Schizosaccharomyces pombe: one gene and its partner. The main gene of each other region encodes a partner of the protein of the gene in region 2 in a complex. Each region holds a gene or a part of one and is shown on either strand. Other genes may lie near its edges.

What was found.
Region 1: elp6 (region 2) and elp4 share a complex: the UniProt entries of both Schizosaccharomyces pombe proteins name them as parts of the elongator complex.

Annotation. Positions count from the first base shown.
Region 1 is NC_003421.2:1,460,638-1,468,740, forward strand, and holds elp4 (elongator complex subunit Elp4), read right to left. Parts: upstream 3,754-8,103; 5' UTR 3,702-3,753; coding exon 2,616-3,701; 3' UTR 2,349-2,615; downstream 1-2,348. Other genes in the region: nucleoside diphosphatase Ynd1, read right to left, coding at 1-1,590; translation initiation factor eIF2B alpha subunit Gcn3, read right to left, coding at 4,136-4,424, 4,521-4,963, 5,019-5,158, 5,216-5,369; CLRC ubiquitin ligase complex WD repeat protein Rik1, read left to right, coding at 7,537-8,103. UniProt on the Schizosaccharomyces pombe protein: Component of the elongator complex, a multiprotein complex which is required for multiple tRNA modifications, including mcm5U (5-methoxycarbonylmethyl uridine), mcm5s2U (5-methoxycarbonylmethyl-2-thiouridine), and ncm5U (5-carbamoylmethyl uridine).
Region 2 is NC_003423.3:1,863,199-1,870,906, reverse strand, and holds elp6 (elongator complex subunit Elp6), read left to right. Parts: upstream 1-5,223; 5' UTR 5,224-5,298; coding exon 5,299-5,493; intron 5,494-5,575; coding exon 5,576-6,130; downstream 6,131-7,708. Other genes in the region: phosphoserine phosphatase Ser2, read right to left, coding at 1-573; SPOM_SPBC3H7.08C (uncharacterized protein), read right to left, coding at 1,064-1,305, 1,466-1,517, 1,587-1,655; palmitoyltransferase Erf2, read left to right, coding at 3,458-4,510; protein tam8, read right to left, coding at 6,154-6,387; trm141 (actin binding methyltransferase), read left to right, coding at 6,721-7,008, 7,081-7,539. UniProt on the Schizosaccharomyces pombe protein: Component of the elongator complex which is required for multiple tRNA modifications, including mcm5U (5-methoxycarbonylmethyl uridine), mcm5s2U (5-methoxycarbonylmethyl-2-thiouridine), and ncm5U (5-carbamoylmethyl uridine).

The DNA of each region.
Region 1 (8,103 bases), on a different chromosome or scaffold from region 2:
ATCAGAAAAATCTGCTATATCCTCATAACTTCCATTTGCAGACATAATGTACGGAGCCTTGCGACGTTGCAAGCGCAGAAGGAATTTTTTGAAACGTTGGCGCCTTTTCGGATCATACCCGAACAAAACCAAAGAGAACAGAAAGAATAAGCAGAAAATAAATGAAAGAATAAAGAACAATTTATTAGGAAATAACCTCATCCAATGTTTTGAAGGGGATGCGATTAGCTTTCCGTATGGGTCCATATAATAATTAGCATATTCCGGTTTTGCTAGAAGTTGCTGATTTGATGCATAAAGCAATACTTGGCCTAAGGTCCAGCTCACTTCGGTGCGTTCTATTTTTTCTAAACTCGTGAATGGAGAATGGTACGCAGGAATTACCGAGAGCCCATCCTTTGCATCATTACTACTTGTATTTGACTTGGGAACGTCGAATCCTTCATGAAGGACATTCAACGCCCATGATGCTTTAAAACAAAGCTTTTCAAGCTTGTTTTCATCAGTACTTGGAGTCAGCTCTTTATTATAAAGACGGGAAAGCATGGTTTCCCACTCTGTACCACAATACTCGTCAACTTTTTTGTAAAAATTAGGGAAATGATAGCTACCGCCCATATCAAACACATCATTAGTCGTATACCAAAATTCCGAGACCCCAACAAATTCAGTATTTGCAAAATCAACAGGAGGAATAGATATTCCATCAAAGTTACAAGGGTCCATGGAGCATGGCTTGTCTTTATTTAATAGATTGTAAGTCAGTTTCAAGCATTGTTTCAAATCTCCAGTACCGGCAAATTCGATCCCATCGATATCATAAGTTCGTCCACGCAAGGAACACGGATCGCTTAAAGTGTTGCCAACTTTTCCGTTTTCGCTTTCTATTAACAGTCCCAAATACCTGCGGTAAGCTTCATTAGCGCCAAAACCGAGCCAGGTAGTAACAAACAAAGGATATTCCAATTGCTGACCATTTTGTAGTCCTATGTGAACGGTCGAAATACTATCCTTGTAATTTTTGAGCTGAGATGGGGGAAGTTCAAAAGCAATTTGCACACTCGCACCGCCCATATCTAAAAAACCAACCGTTGACGTATCTTTTTCTTCAAGTGTCTTAAGGAGATAGTTCGTAGCTAGCCAACCATACATACCTTCAGCTTTGCCATCAATTACACGGATTGAATTTGAGCAATTAGGTATGTCGAAATCGTAATTCTTTTTAATATATCTACAAGCATGCGAAAGTATTTTGTTTTGGGCATCAACGCCCAGTAAACGCATACCAGCTGTAGCACTTAGGAAAACCGGAGTTTCTTTATGTACATCTTTGGGAATAGCATGAGCAGCAAAATCCAGGAGTTCTTTCAAATGCTTCTTCCCTACATGCTTAGGGTTATTGGCAAAGGAAGAAATTCCAGGTTGAACCTTTAAAGACCATTTACCACCATCCCCAATCCCTGTCTCGATTAATGGTAATTTTTTTACTTTATCACTTAAAGAGGAATCGGTATCATAGTCCCAAGAATAAATTAGAAGTCTTGAACCACTAGATCCAGCGTCGATGAAAATTCCATACTTTCGAACCATTTTTAGCCACCTGCACTTATTTTTCTTAACAAAATGTCTCTTTGTCTATAAGACTGGATATTAAATAACTTCGACTCTGAAGATGGATATTTTCATCAAACCAGCCCAATTTGCCTTTTGTTTGTTGATGGTTGAAAGCGCACTATGGCGATGTGAACAATTTCAATATGGCATATGTTCCCAAGATATACATCAATAAAATTCAGTTAAATATATGTATCTGTCTTATCAATGAACCTCTATTTAACTTAATTGAAACATTGAATGAACGTTTGTAGTGGATTATGAACATTCAACTCAATGTTTAACAACTAGCGAATGTATAGGTAGCACATTTTTAGGTGGTAAATCACTATATAGTGAACTCTGTCAAAATGCAAAAAAAGTAAATTGAGACGAATTTAAGGACCCATTCATACGGACTATTGGAATAATCACATTAATTTTGGTCACTTGACTTAAAAGATAATGCGACTAGAATTAAAGAGAAAAATCGAATACGCGAAAACTTTTTGATTTGTCTCTTTAATTTGCTTAGATGTCAAATACTGTTAGTACCAACAGATTGACAATGTTTTGATAACAATCATCAACAATTTACTTCAGAACTGTTTTAATAGAGAAAATAATTGTATCCTTCAAATTTCAACGGTTTAACACTGTTTAAGATTTAAAATGTCATTTACTTACAAGTATTTCATGCACTTTGCTTTAAGATCACAGTAACGGTTCTTCGTAGAGATATTTGACGGCTTTCAGTTCGCATTCTATATTAACTTGTGTTTTAAAGTTTTGATTGAGAGAACGTTTATCCCATTTGACGAACATTTAGATAATTGATCAGTTATCTAGACGGGAGAAATGAAAAATATTTAAACTCGTATGAACAATAAATAACACAAATGCAATGCATCCAAAAAAAATTATAAAATCCATTTACAAACCATAACCATATCACATAACACGAAAACGAGTAGAATTTTAATCCAATTCAATACTCAGAAACTTAGAGGTTTTTTAATTGTCTAAAAATCCAAAGATTTAACAGGCTGTTTTTGAGGATTCGTGTTTGAAATCTTCGTATCCTTTTGCTCATCATCCAGTGGAGGAAGGACCCATGGTTCAATGGTAAATCTTCTTTTCGATACAGTAAATGAGAGGTCTCCAGCTTCATTAGAGTTTGCATGATTGGTAAATGGAAGTGCTAAGGGAAGCTTATGGATACGGAAAAGTCCTAATGGTTGTGTAACTAAACCGTTAACAGTTTCTTTGACCGGGAAAGGATGCAAAGAGAATACGGCGGATGCAAGGTTTTCTAGCCAAAAAATTTGCTCGCAATCTCTTGAAAACAAAGTAGAAGGAACTGAACACATACATATCAAGTGCACCGAAGTAGTGCATTTGATGAGCGATGAAAGTGTGTGAATAAATCTTATGAAATGCTGCGGATGAGTAGCACGGATAGAATAGAAGGCTGGGGACAAAATGGATGGAAGAACTAACCTGCATACCGTACCTGGAGTCAGAGTAGATAAGAATCTCGTTAGACTTTCAATGACAGGGGCGTAAGGATTAGACCCTGTTTCCAAAGGGAATGGAGAAACAGCGTATTTCATATCGCTTTTCACTATCAAATTCTTTGACAAATCAAAGGAGTGAGTATAGCCAGGAGGAATCATATCAAGGGTCGGTGCCTTGGTTTTGGAGACTTGTTCATACCTCCAGGCAATTTTCATTCTTTCTTGCTGGGGATTTTTAGAGGGAGGAGAAGAATGATTATCCTCTCCAGCTGAATTTTCGTTTTTATTAGGCCGGTCGCTGTCGCCTGGAAGTTGACGAAACCACATCTCTCCAATAGATGGACCAAGCCAAATAACATGGTCCTGTTTAAGGCCTTCCGCTGCAAAAAATTTAAGTAGCACAGAAGCATAATCCATCGAATCTTCCTCTATAACCAGCAAACTTTTCATTGGAATGCCGCCAGACAAATAGTAGTCAAAAGAAGAACTCCCAGAGCTTGTAATCCATCTAGCATCCTTTGAAGATAGTCTAACGCCTGTCGGCAAGTTTGTTGGTGCTATTTGAGGTGCTGCTTTCCTTTTGAACGACATCAATACTTATTTCGATTGGTGTACGTGGAATAGCAAATTGGATGGAAAGGTTAACGCGACGCAAATTTGCAGCACACATTTAAGCATCATCAGTCAGAAAACAAAGAAATTCAGCGTTGCGATTGAGAAAATAAAAAATTGTTGACTAAAGTTAATCATTCAATAAAAATACCTTTTAGATAAATTTTGTTGAACTAATAATAAAATTTCACTAGTGGGCGCATTGAAACAAAAATAATATTGTAATACTACAAAATAACATAGAAAATGTTACGTCGTACAGTCAATTAGCATGATCGGAAAATGTATTACTGTTGTATTTTTGAAGATTACTTTCAATCCGAATCTAGTTGGACAAGACTTATGAGAAATTTAAGTCAACTCAAAGTACAATCTATTCATATTTTATTTTTAAGATCAGGAGAATCTGATTGCTAAAGATACAATTTAATTAGCTCTTCGCTTACCCCACTCTTCGAATCAATGATCCCTAAATCGGTAATGAGACCTGAGACAAATTCGGGTGGTGTAACATCCAAAGTAGGATTATTTCGAATTTGTTCTTCATTCATGATCAGCTCGTTATGAATAGCATCTGATGGAGTTGGAATTGGTTCAGGTTCAGGATGAACAGTTTCAGGAGATGGATCATCAAATTCCAGAATAGGACGACTAAAGGGAATATCATATTGAGAAAGGGGAAACATACGCACGAATTTATGACTAAAAAACGTTAGTACAAATTTTAAAATTAACAGGGAAATGGAGAGATCATAGGGAAAAATAATTGTAAGCTGAATGGATTCAACGTTTACGTACCTTTCTGCAACTGCGTAAAAGGGCTTATGTGCATGTTTGGCAAAAACGGCAAGTTGGAAAGTACCGATTTGATTAATGAGTCCTCCGTTTTCGACAACACCTTCTGCGCCAACCAAGACCAAATCTACACGGTTCATAGTAAAGCTTACAGCGGAATCCAAAACCATGCAAGTAGGAATACAAGCATTTTTTAATGTTCTCGTCATTAGACAGCCTGAGCCGCTAGGTCTTGATTCTGTGACAAAAACTTTGAAACGAACGTGACGCTTGGCAGCAGCCAAAAGAACAGCCGCAACACCGCGTGAAAACCCATGGGTAAGAATAACACTACCATCTCGAATAAGAGGGTAACCTAAATGTGCAATTCTTTGTCGACAAGCACGAGCACGCTGAATAAAGAGTTTTCCATTTTCTACCAAGTGACGTTTGCATTGCTCAAAATCCTAAAGCCGTGGAGAATTAGTAAAGAAAAGAAAACTACTTTGCATCAACACATACCCCGACATCGTGTAGTGATCGAGTGACAAACCGTTGGAAAATGTCACAACCAGCTGAAAGCGAAATGTTGTTTTGAACGCCTTCCTTCAGCGTATTTGAGCCATTTTGTAAAATGTCCATAAATTCTGAAATTGTCTTGGCTAATAGAAAAACATCAGTAAATTCATTTCTCACATGAGTACTACAAATTAACATACCTTGAGAGCGCGACAAAAGCTGGACTAAAGCCTCAATGGCGGCTACAGGCATCGTGATTTCTGGATCATCTTGCAAAAATTTTTTGTAAACCTGGACGATGTCAAATTCTCCTTGAGAATGTCGAACGATTCCCGAAGAATCCGATTCCACCATATTCGCAGATGCTAGACGCTCTTGCTTAGTAGCAACATCTTTTCCATACTTTAAGGATATCCAACAAAATCAAATAACGGGCAATGCCTTTTTGTATTAAATTGTAAGCTACGCAATTTGGTATCTGATTTAAGGATACGTAGAACTGCGGTGAGTTTTCCTTGTGATCTATTATATTACAATACACAGGTTGTATAAGTAGCAACTGAGTATAGGTATTGTATTAACTGAGTTATAATGTTACCTATCACTAATATAGCTCATAACTGAACTGAGGAACGAGGTTCAGCAGTAGCTCTATTTATATTATTCAGATAATATAGATCTTAATAGATTATCATTAAGATCAATCTCAATATCGTATCATACATGGTACGATATATAATTAGAACATGTGACATATAGTGATACGCAACGTAGATGATGCGATGTCGAGATTGATATTGATAATACTATATTAACAGATAGATTATTTGGATAGAATCGATAGAGATACAACTAAACCTCATTTCGCAGTTCAGTTATAAGTGATAGGTGACATTATAACCTAAATAGTACAATACCAGTACTTAGTCATTACTTATATAACCCGGCTATTATAATATAATGGATCATATGCAAAATTCACCAGTTTTTCGTATCGTTAAAGCAGATACCAAACTGCGTAGCTGACATTATACGGCGTTTTGGATACTGATCTACAGATATGTTCCTATAGATATTTATGTAGGTGATTTGAATGGTATTTACATATAAATTGGTTTATTAAATAGCTTATATTTAATTAAAGCTAAATATTGAGAATAATTTTAATATCATATTCTTGACTGAGTACATCTGAGGATAATCATGAAATTCTTCCTCGGTGATCAGTAAACAATGCTTGACTGTTGATTTCCAATATGTAACGTTCAACGATACTTATCATTGTATAGATAGTGAATTTGTAGTATAATTTACTATGTTCCTAATAGTTGAGCGTATCATGAACGAAATATGTCAAAACGCTTCCATTTTAAAAAAAAAGGAGTACTGATGAAAGCAGTAATTGGATTTGGTAAAAAGTAATATAGAAAGTTTTTTAAAAAACTATTTTATGTTTAAGAGACCTTTCAAAAGTTCATGACCATTTCTACGAGAAACTAATCTTTAGTCCAACCTTCGTAAATCTCGCTTATATTAAGCTTGATTTTACTTCGGTATTTATGGATGACGCGAACACTAAACTGGTATAGAAAAAACGCTATTACTTTCAGCATCTAAAGAAAATCATTTATGATAATTTCTATGCTTTCAATTATATCTAAATATTTACATGCTCAATCATTCAAAGCGATGCTACAAAAATATTATGTTTTAGTTGTCGACTCGAATTTCAGTAAAATCCTAACTTTATTGCTAGACATCCGTAGGTTTTCATTTATGCTATAAATCTGTGAATCACCTCGTGATCGGCAAGTTGTTAAAATAATCTTTTAAGTAACTCTAATACCATGCACTATAGTAAAGAAGGTATATATTTCTTTGCGTGCCTAGTTCTTGTTTTCAATAGCAATAGTCGTTATCTCCCATAGCTTTTAATTCTGCTCATCGATGAGAGTAACATATTCCAATATCTTCTCTACATTATCAAATCGTTTTGCAATTATAAAAATATCAATAGCTTTCGATTTCCCCCAATATGGCTAATGCTAAAATTTATAACATTGATGTAGAATTTGGCTTAGTTAAGATGCAAGTTGAAAATGTCTTATGTTTTATGATTATCAGAAAATGTTTTGTGTAGTATCTGATATTAAAAAATGCATATCAACTTTTACAATAAATTCGCTTGCGCAAAATGTATAGAGACTGCATATCTCGTTTCTTCTCCCTGCGGAGTGCCTGTAACTGGCGTCTTGCACTTTCATTCAAAATCGAAATTTTTTGGTAAGGATTTGATAGAGATTGTCACTTGGTAGCATATTTTTTCTATCTTGAATTCCTTTTTCTAGGCTTTTGTGGCTCTTGGCCGTCCACTCTTTATTTTTGTATTCAACTGTTTTTTAATCACATAAGTCTAGTCATAATCTTTTGAACCAACTCAAAGCTTCTTTTTTTTATTTTTTTCTTTGTTAAAAAAAGTCTTTATTCCTTTTATTATATCAGTTTATGGATTTCATCGTGTATGGCTTTATGTGTTCATTCCTTCTGGGCAACGGCGGTAGACACAGCGACTTCATGTCATTTTATATCATCTGAAAACTGCTTAGTTTTATTACAAGCCTTAAAAATTAATATTTATCTCTGTAGTGAGGTTCATGGCTTACAATTCTTTACCTCTATCCCTTTATTTTCTACGGTGAAACATATACGCCCATATCGCCCTCCAGGATTAGATAGAGACTATTTATTTGTAGTTCTCAATGATGATACTTATTTTTCGATTTATTGGGACGAGGATTATCAAAAAGTGATCGTCGACCATCCTCCAGTTCGCTATCGAGTTACATTTCCTTGGAATCGCAACGCGAAAAGCTACTGCCTTGTCGACTTAAGGATGCGTGCTATTTTTTTAAGCATTGACGAAATTTCCATGATATGTATTAGAATCCTTTCTGCCGAAGAACGGTTGAAAACTGGCCGTTCTATAGATAGCGGATTTCCTTTTTCTTTTCCAGTGCATCTCATATATGATATGTGCATTCTCAATGATTCCAGTACCCCAACTCTTGTGGTCCTTCACAGCGATGGC
Region 2 (7,708 bases):
GGCATATGCATAGTCCAAGTCCAGTTGTCCCTTGACATATTCAGCCATTGGAACAAATCCACCACTAGCGACAACAAGAGTCGCACCCATTTGCTTAAGGCAATGACAAAGCTGTTTAGCTCCTGGAGTGAAAGTAATTTTGCCAATGACTTTATTTATGACATCGACGCTCAACCCTTGTAGTAGAGAAACGCGACGACGAAGTGATTCTTGAAAGTCAATTTCCCCATTCATTGCAAGAGATGTAATCGTAGCAACCTCTTTCTGGATGCCTGCTTCTGCCGCGAGCTCGTCAATACACTCTTGTTGAATCAACGTCGAGTCCATGTCAAATACTACAAGCTTCTTTTTAGTGGAAAATGTTGCTTCACTCAAGCAATTACAGTCTACATTCTCAGTAGCAGAAATGCGGTTACAAGCGTCTTTAGCATCTTCAAACGTTCCTTTAAGTTGGCCTGATACTAAAGTCCACTGTTCCCCCAGAGAACGAGTCTTCCCATCTCTAAACAAGGAGGAAATCTGTTCAAGCACATTTGGACGATTTGAGGAAACAACTATGGCTGCGTTGACCATGCTTATTAAAAGGTATGAGTGGGTTTGCTAAATTTTCTAAGTTGAAAAGCGTTGTTTTCGGCAAGTCCCATTTACTAATTACTCGGCTATTGATTAAGCTTAACGTTAAACGACAACAAGTACTAGGTCAATTTAAGTTATTTGAAAATCTCAAACAAGCTTATTTTTTGTTATTGTTTACAAATTTATCATTATCTTCAAAATGCTGTATAAATTGTGAAGTTGGTAAAGTGGTGCCTAAACTCCGTTTTCAAACACAGGTTAATAAGCAAATATTTTTTTTATACATTAAAGCAATAAAGCAAGAAATCATAACTAAGAAGATGTTTGGAAATATTGCAATATATCAGGGCAAATATTCCAAAAATGAGAGCCTACCATAAAGTAGAGAGTGAGATATTTGTAAAGTGAAAAAGCACTAAAAAAATATTTGGCAATGTAATAATTGTTCTCTTTCATTCCTAAAAGGTTATACACAATTTAATGTGCTTTACTTAGAGAATCGCTCAAGTACCTCTTCTGATACACCTTTAACGGGAAAAGTGCTGTATTGAATAGCAGAAGGTGCCTTTCGAGGTTCTTTACTCCTATCTCCTCGAGGATAATACTTGTAGCTATAATCAAGACTCTCATCACTTTTTCCGCTACTGCTTTTGGTGTCTTCCCAGGGGTGAGCATTTTTTGAAGGAATTCGGACTTGATCTTCATGTTGTACCAACAAGCCCCGCTGTCCTAAAAAACTGTTAGCTACAATCATTTAATTTAAACAATCATATGTAAATGCGCTTGTAAAATAAATATTCTGTAGGAAAATTTTAACAGAATATTAAAATTGAGTATAATGTTTCATTAACTGCGCTGATTTCTAATTTTCTACTAATTTTTAACATACCAAGCATATAACCAGCAACTCCAAAGGTATAAGTCATGACACACCAAGTTATCTAACAGCAAACTGATCAGCTTACGAAATAATCAACTCAATATATTTTTCAAAAAAAAATTGAGCTTACAAATAGTTCTGGATATTCTCTTGACCAGCGAACCAGGCGGTTCGACATAATTGAGCGCATAATTGACATGATGGTTCCAAAAATAAAAAGTTCTTGTTCGCTTGAATAGTTTGATTAATTGTTTCGAGATGGAAAGGATCTAAAATCCTTTTATGATTGTAAATGTCAAAATGAAATACGTAGGCGAACATTCGCAACATTTATGACAAGCATCAATATTTATGGGGATCGCCACCTGACGCAGACAAGACGTAGCAACGGTGCGCATTAAGAGATTCAAATTTGAATGGATAATAATATCATAATAATCACCAACTCCTTCTACTAAAGTGGTGAAAGAAGCAACTTTCCAATATTTCTAGATTTTCCAGCGTTTGCAATCGGGATCGAACCGCCCTTGTATTTATATTGCTTTATACAGTTTTATAATACTTTTCAGATACTACCTCTACCCTTGTATTATACTATAGAATTTGTTAGGACACTTATTTACTAAACTTTTCCTAAGATTATATTTGTAAATAATAAGAAGAGAACACTAAAAAACTTCGCAAACAAATAAAAATGGTTCGTACCATTATAAATAAATATAGTCATTTTTCAAAATTTAGCTGCCATGAGGTTAGTAACTTAATAGTAGTTGCTGACCGCAAATGTTTCTCCAGTAAAGTAGGTCCAATGTACAAGTACGTTTAAAAGCGTCATTGAGATTTTCTAAGGAATAAGAATTTAATTCATTTCCCTTTAAAACAGGAAATAAAACCAAAGGACCGCTTGGAGTCATGCATATTGAGGAATAACAATCTAATTCGATAATCTTGTGAACTACATTTCCACTAAATACAGTGAATGAAGCCAGGATGGTTTTTCTTAGATGTAGATTAGTAATAATTTTTCTTCAAAATTTCATCCATAACTGACCATATACCGTGTTTCTTGAGTTATTTGTTTACAAGCCATAGAGGTTATTGGGTTATTTCGGGGCTAGTGAAAGTATAGAGATGATCCTTTAAATTAGCCCTTTCATTAATAGCTTCGCGATAATCATAATTTCAATAGTTGCAACACTCTAATAAACTTTTAAGATCTTTTTTCGTTGCTTCCGTACCTTCATTTCTAATATTTTCTCAATTACACCCTCCCATTATTTTCCTGCTAGTTATTTAGCCATTTTAAAAAAAAAAAAAAAAAAAAAAAACATAATACACAAGATGAAAATGGTTTACTAGCTAGTCTACTTCCCATGATATTGGTCTTTTATCTTAGTCTTTGGAGTCTTTATCGAGTCATATATTACTAATTTTTCCATATATTATCCACTTTCTTTACAAACCCGAAATTGCACGGATAGTATAATTTATTAAACTTGATTTTTCTAACTTTGAGCCCTGAATTGTTGTACTGACAGGATGTTCCAATTACAGTATCGATGAAATATATTTAAATAAAAAGTTTGAAAAATATAAATACTAATATATTGGCACTCTTAAATAATTTTTTTTACATTTTATTCGTAAAAAAAAAATAAGTACTTTATTTATTATTATTAATTTTATTTCTTCGGTTAGTATTTTTTTTTTTAGCATTTCATTTCATATTCTGTTTTTATTTCCCTTCTCTTTTTAATACACTCTCATCGATTAAATAGGCGCCATTCCAAATATTAGTTATTAGAGTCACATTCTCTAATTGTTTATTTATTTTGATTTCTTTATTTGCTTAGTAAACAAACTTTGGCGGATGCTAATATTTACTTCACCCTCCATCGCAAAAGGGGTTCATATCCTTACCGACAACAAAACTACAAGATATAATACCAGGTGTAAAAATAGCTGTTTCTTTGCCATGTTTGTTGTTTAGAGAATATAATCATGAGCTATGAGAAACACAGTGATGCTAAGGCATCCCGCTACGCGTGGAATCAGCCATGGAATCCATTTGAGGTGACTTTGTCTGATCCAACGTATCCCATGAATTTGGAAGAAAAGAACCAAATTCCTTATAGATTTCAATCCGTTCCTGATGATGTTCCGGAAGTACCGCATATTGAAAGCCGATATAAGAATTTACCAGGAAACAATATCTATTTATGTTGTGGTCGATTGCAAATGTCATCTCAGTACAAAGCTTTCCTCATTAGCTTGTTTGCCTTGATTCTTCCAGGAGTCCTTTTCTTCATCTTTTCTGCTTTTTGGCTCTGGCATCATGTCTCTCCCGCTGTCCCTATTACCTTTGCTTACCTGTATGCCTTAGCCGTTGTTTCCATGTTCAAGTGCTCGACTGCTGATCCAGGAATTCTTCCTAGAAATGCATATTCTTTAACTTATAACCCTGCCCATCCCTGGTCTGTAATTCCTGAAGACCGTAAAGTCCTTGTTGGATCCACTCGGTCTGACTCTGTCTTTGTTAATACAGTTTATTGCCATACGTGCCACTTATATCGTCCTCCACGTGCAAGCCATTGTCATTTATGTGATAATTGTGTTGAATACCTTGATCATCACTGCATTTGGTTAAACACTTGCATTGGTCGTCGAAACTACAGATATTATTTTATTTTTTTGTTATCTGTCGTTCTTTCAGCTTTGTATCTAACTGGATTGGGGTTCTATACTTCTATAGGAAGTTTTCATGAATCCACAGATACAAATTTTGCGGCGCATCTTCGTCGTCCATGGGCTGGCGTATCTTTCTTCCTTGGCATTTATGGGGCACTTGGAGCAATACTTCCTGGCATCCTTTTCTGTTACCAGTGCTATTTAATATCTGTTGGTCAGAATGTTCATGAATACTTACGAGCAAAGAGTACAGAAACTGAAGATGTACATCCTTTTCATGACAGCATATGGCTCAATTTTCTGGTTGTCCTTTGTCGTCCTAAAAATGTGAGTTACGTTCGTCCCACTAGGAAGTCTTACGTGTAATATGCCTTGGCTTCACAAAGAAAATAAGAAATAAAAATTTTTTATTTGCTAGACAATAATGCTCAAATCGCTCACGCATATATGCTACACTCTTTCATCTTCCCCTTACCAATTTACTTTTCAGTACCGAAATTAATTTGGTTTTAATAACCGGAATAAAAAAGATTACTCCCCTCTTCAAAATTTTTACCTGGATAATGTTTTGTTCTTTTTTTTCATCCTTGTCGTCGACCCCTTCAGCTCGCCCTTTGTACTTTACAGAGAACAATGTACAGAAACAAATGTTTATAAAACTATTCCTTGTTCTCACCAATCTCTGGAATTATTAATATTTAATTTGGCTGCTCTCTTTTATTTTTAAAGTAATGCTGCTTGTTTTTATGACTTATATGATAGATAGATGGTTTTACCTCCTTTAGCTAAACCCCTTTCCAGTCTAATTTATTGGGATTTGCTCTTTATTGTTCTTTTTTATTATTATGATTGCCTTTTAGGCAAATCAATGTTCCATAGGTAGATAGTTTTTCTTTTTTTAATGAAATAGCTTATCCACATTTAGAGGATAGTTTTCTGGAAAATAATTTGGTATTAGACTTCTTTAATTTGATACTTGAAACTTCTATAATATTAGAACTAGCTTTGCATTACTGACCGGCTTGTTCATTCTTACTCTGGTTCATGTTGCTCCGTTCCCAGGCTTGTGTTTTCCATTCACCCTCTACAACCATTCGGAAAGCTGGTTACTGTAGTTAGGCTATAAAACTAATGACAAACGGCTCTTAAACCTAATGTCTTCTTTACACGAGCATTTACGCCCCATTCCTGAGCCTTTTTCTTTAACTTTGCTACTGGGAACAAGAGAAACACCTGTCACATTTCTGTTCCATTATTATTTATACCATGCGTTGAAAGCAAAGGAAAGTACTTGTTTTTTAACATTCAGTAAAACCTTAGATGAGCATGCAATTAGTATGCGTAAATGGGTATGTAAAAAGAGGGATTACGATTGCATAAGTGGTTGAATGATAAACTATTCGTATGACTAACCTACTGAACCAATATTAGGGAATGGATATTAAAACGAAAAAAAATTTCTTCTTTATCGATGGCTTCAGCATGCTATTTGCTCCTATTTCCAAGCCTTCGAAGGTACAAGCACCAGAAACCAAAAATCACATCAAATCTGTTTTCGCGCCTGTGATCCAATGTGTGGAGGAAAACGATTTTGAATTTGAAAACTCCACGATCATCATAGAAGATATTGATATTTTACAAAGTACTCATGCTCTCGATTCCACAAAGATTCAGCAGGCAATTTTGGAATTACGAAAATGTTTCAGTAGAGTCATTGTAAACGTGACTTTGGGAGCTCCGTTACCACAACAAAAGTCTTTAGGCTCTTCAATCGGACACATGGCAACTAGATGTATTTCCTGTCGGCCTTTGACTAGCGGTAGCGCTCGACGAATCACCGGATTCCTGCGTCTTTCTCGAATGCCAAATCACTTTCGTAGTGGAATATGCGAGACCCCGGAGGATGATGACAAGGAGCTTTTATACGAGGTAACGGAAGCAGGTGCTAAGGTATATTCCAAAGGGCAGGTGACGCTGCAACTCTAAATTCCTACTTCATCTACTTTTTCTCAATTATCTGCTGCTGCAGTCTCTTCGTCTCCCTTCTTTTCCACTTGTACATTATCTTGCACCCACCGTTTTACTAAAAATGTTCGTTGAGGCCTGGATTCATCTCCTTCTTCATTATCCTCATCATCTTCATTAGAATATGTATCTACAACAACAGGAACCCATTCTCTGCTCCAATGCACTGCTGTTTTTTCATTTTGTTGAGGTTCCACACTTTCTGAAGTCCTATTCATTGTATATTTGTAGAGTTGCGAGTATCACAAGGTGCGCGCGAATTGGTATAGGTGTAGGTTTACAAGGAAGAACAAGACGCTCTCTGCACAGTGTGCATTGATTTGTGAATTTGGAATTAACGAACTAGGTTTGGTTATTTTTTTATTTAAAATAGTGCTTTTTTAATTTAAAAAAAATTGATCGAGCCAGTTTGGTATTCATTGAAGGTTGTAGGGTAAATCGTTGTCATACAAATTTTTTATCGCATTTTTTGGAATAACTACTGGGTTGGGTAATATTTTGAAACATCTTTCATACATATAGAAGACCGTGCTACGAAATTGTTAGGAGATATGAGTGGTATATCAAAATTAAGTGATTTTTGGGTTGAAAAATATAAAAAGGAGTCGAAAAAGTCTTGGGATAAGTTTTACAAGCGAAATGAAACAAGGTTTTTCAAAGATAGACACTGGCTTGATCGTGAATTCGATTGTTATTTTGGATTGCCCGATAAGTTGCCATTGACTATCCTTGAAGTCGGATGCGGTGTTGGAAACCTCGTCTATCCTCTGCTAGAAGTGCAACCAAATTTGAAGATATACTGCTGTGATTTTAGTCCTCGTGCTATAGATTTTGTGAAGGTAAGGAGAGCTACTAAATTTATGCCAATTTGCTCTGAAATATTTAATTTACTAACCTTTGTCTTAATTTAGAAGCATTCCTGTTATAACGAAAATAGAGTTTTTCCTTTTGTTAATGATATAACCGAAGATTCTTTGCTTGAAGTTTTGGGTTCTGCTTGCATTGATACATTAACTGCCATCTTTGTATTATCTGCCATTCCACGCGAGAAGCAGCTTCGTTCTATTAAGAACTTGGCTTCAGTCATAAAGCCAGGAGGGCATTTGGTGTTTCGTGATTACTGTGATGGCGATTTTGCTCAAGAGAAATTCATGACAAGCGGTGACCCATCTATGATTGATGAACAGACGTTCGTTAGACAGGATGGAACTTTATCACTTTTTTTTCGAGAAGAAGATATTGCTGAATGGATGAAAAGCGCCGGGTTTGGCTTAGTAACATTAGATCGAGTTAATCGCACCGTTGACAACCGAAAGCGTAACTTAAATATGAAGCGTACGTTTTTACAAGGAGTTTGGAAAAAGCTGTGAATACTTTGGTAGAAAAAGTTTCTTTGTTTGCGTATTTTTTATTCTTTTATATAGGGCTTTTAATGTAATCCGTTTTAGACATGAGTCCTGAGTTTTATTGTAAGGTTTATGACAGTAACTTTAGTTTTTTGATAATTTAATTAATAAAAATAGAAAATCTTTGTTTTCT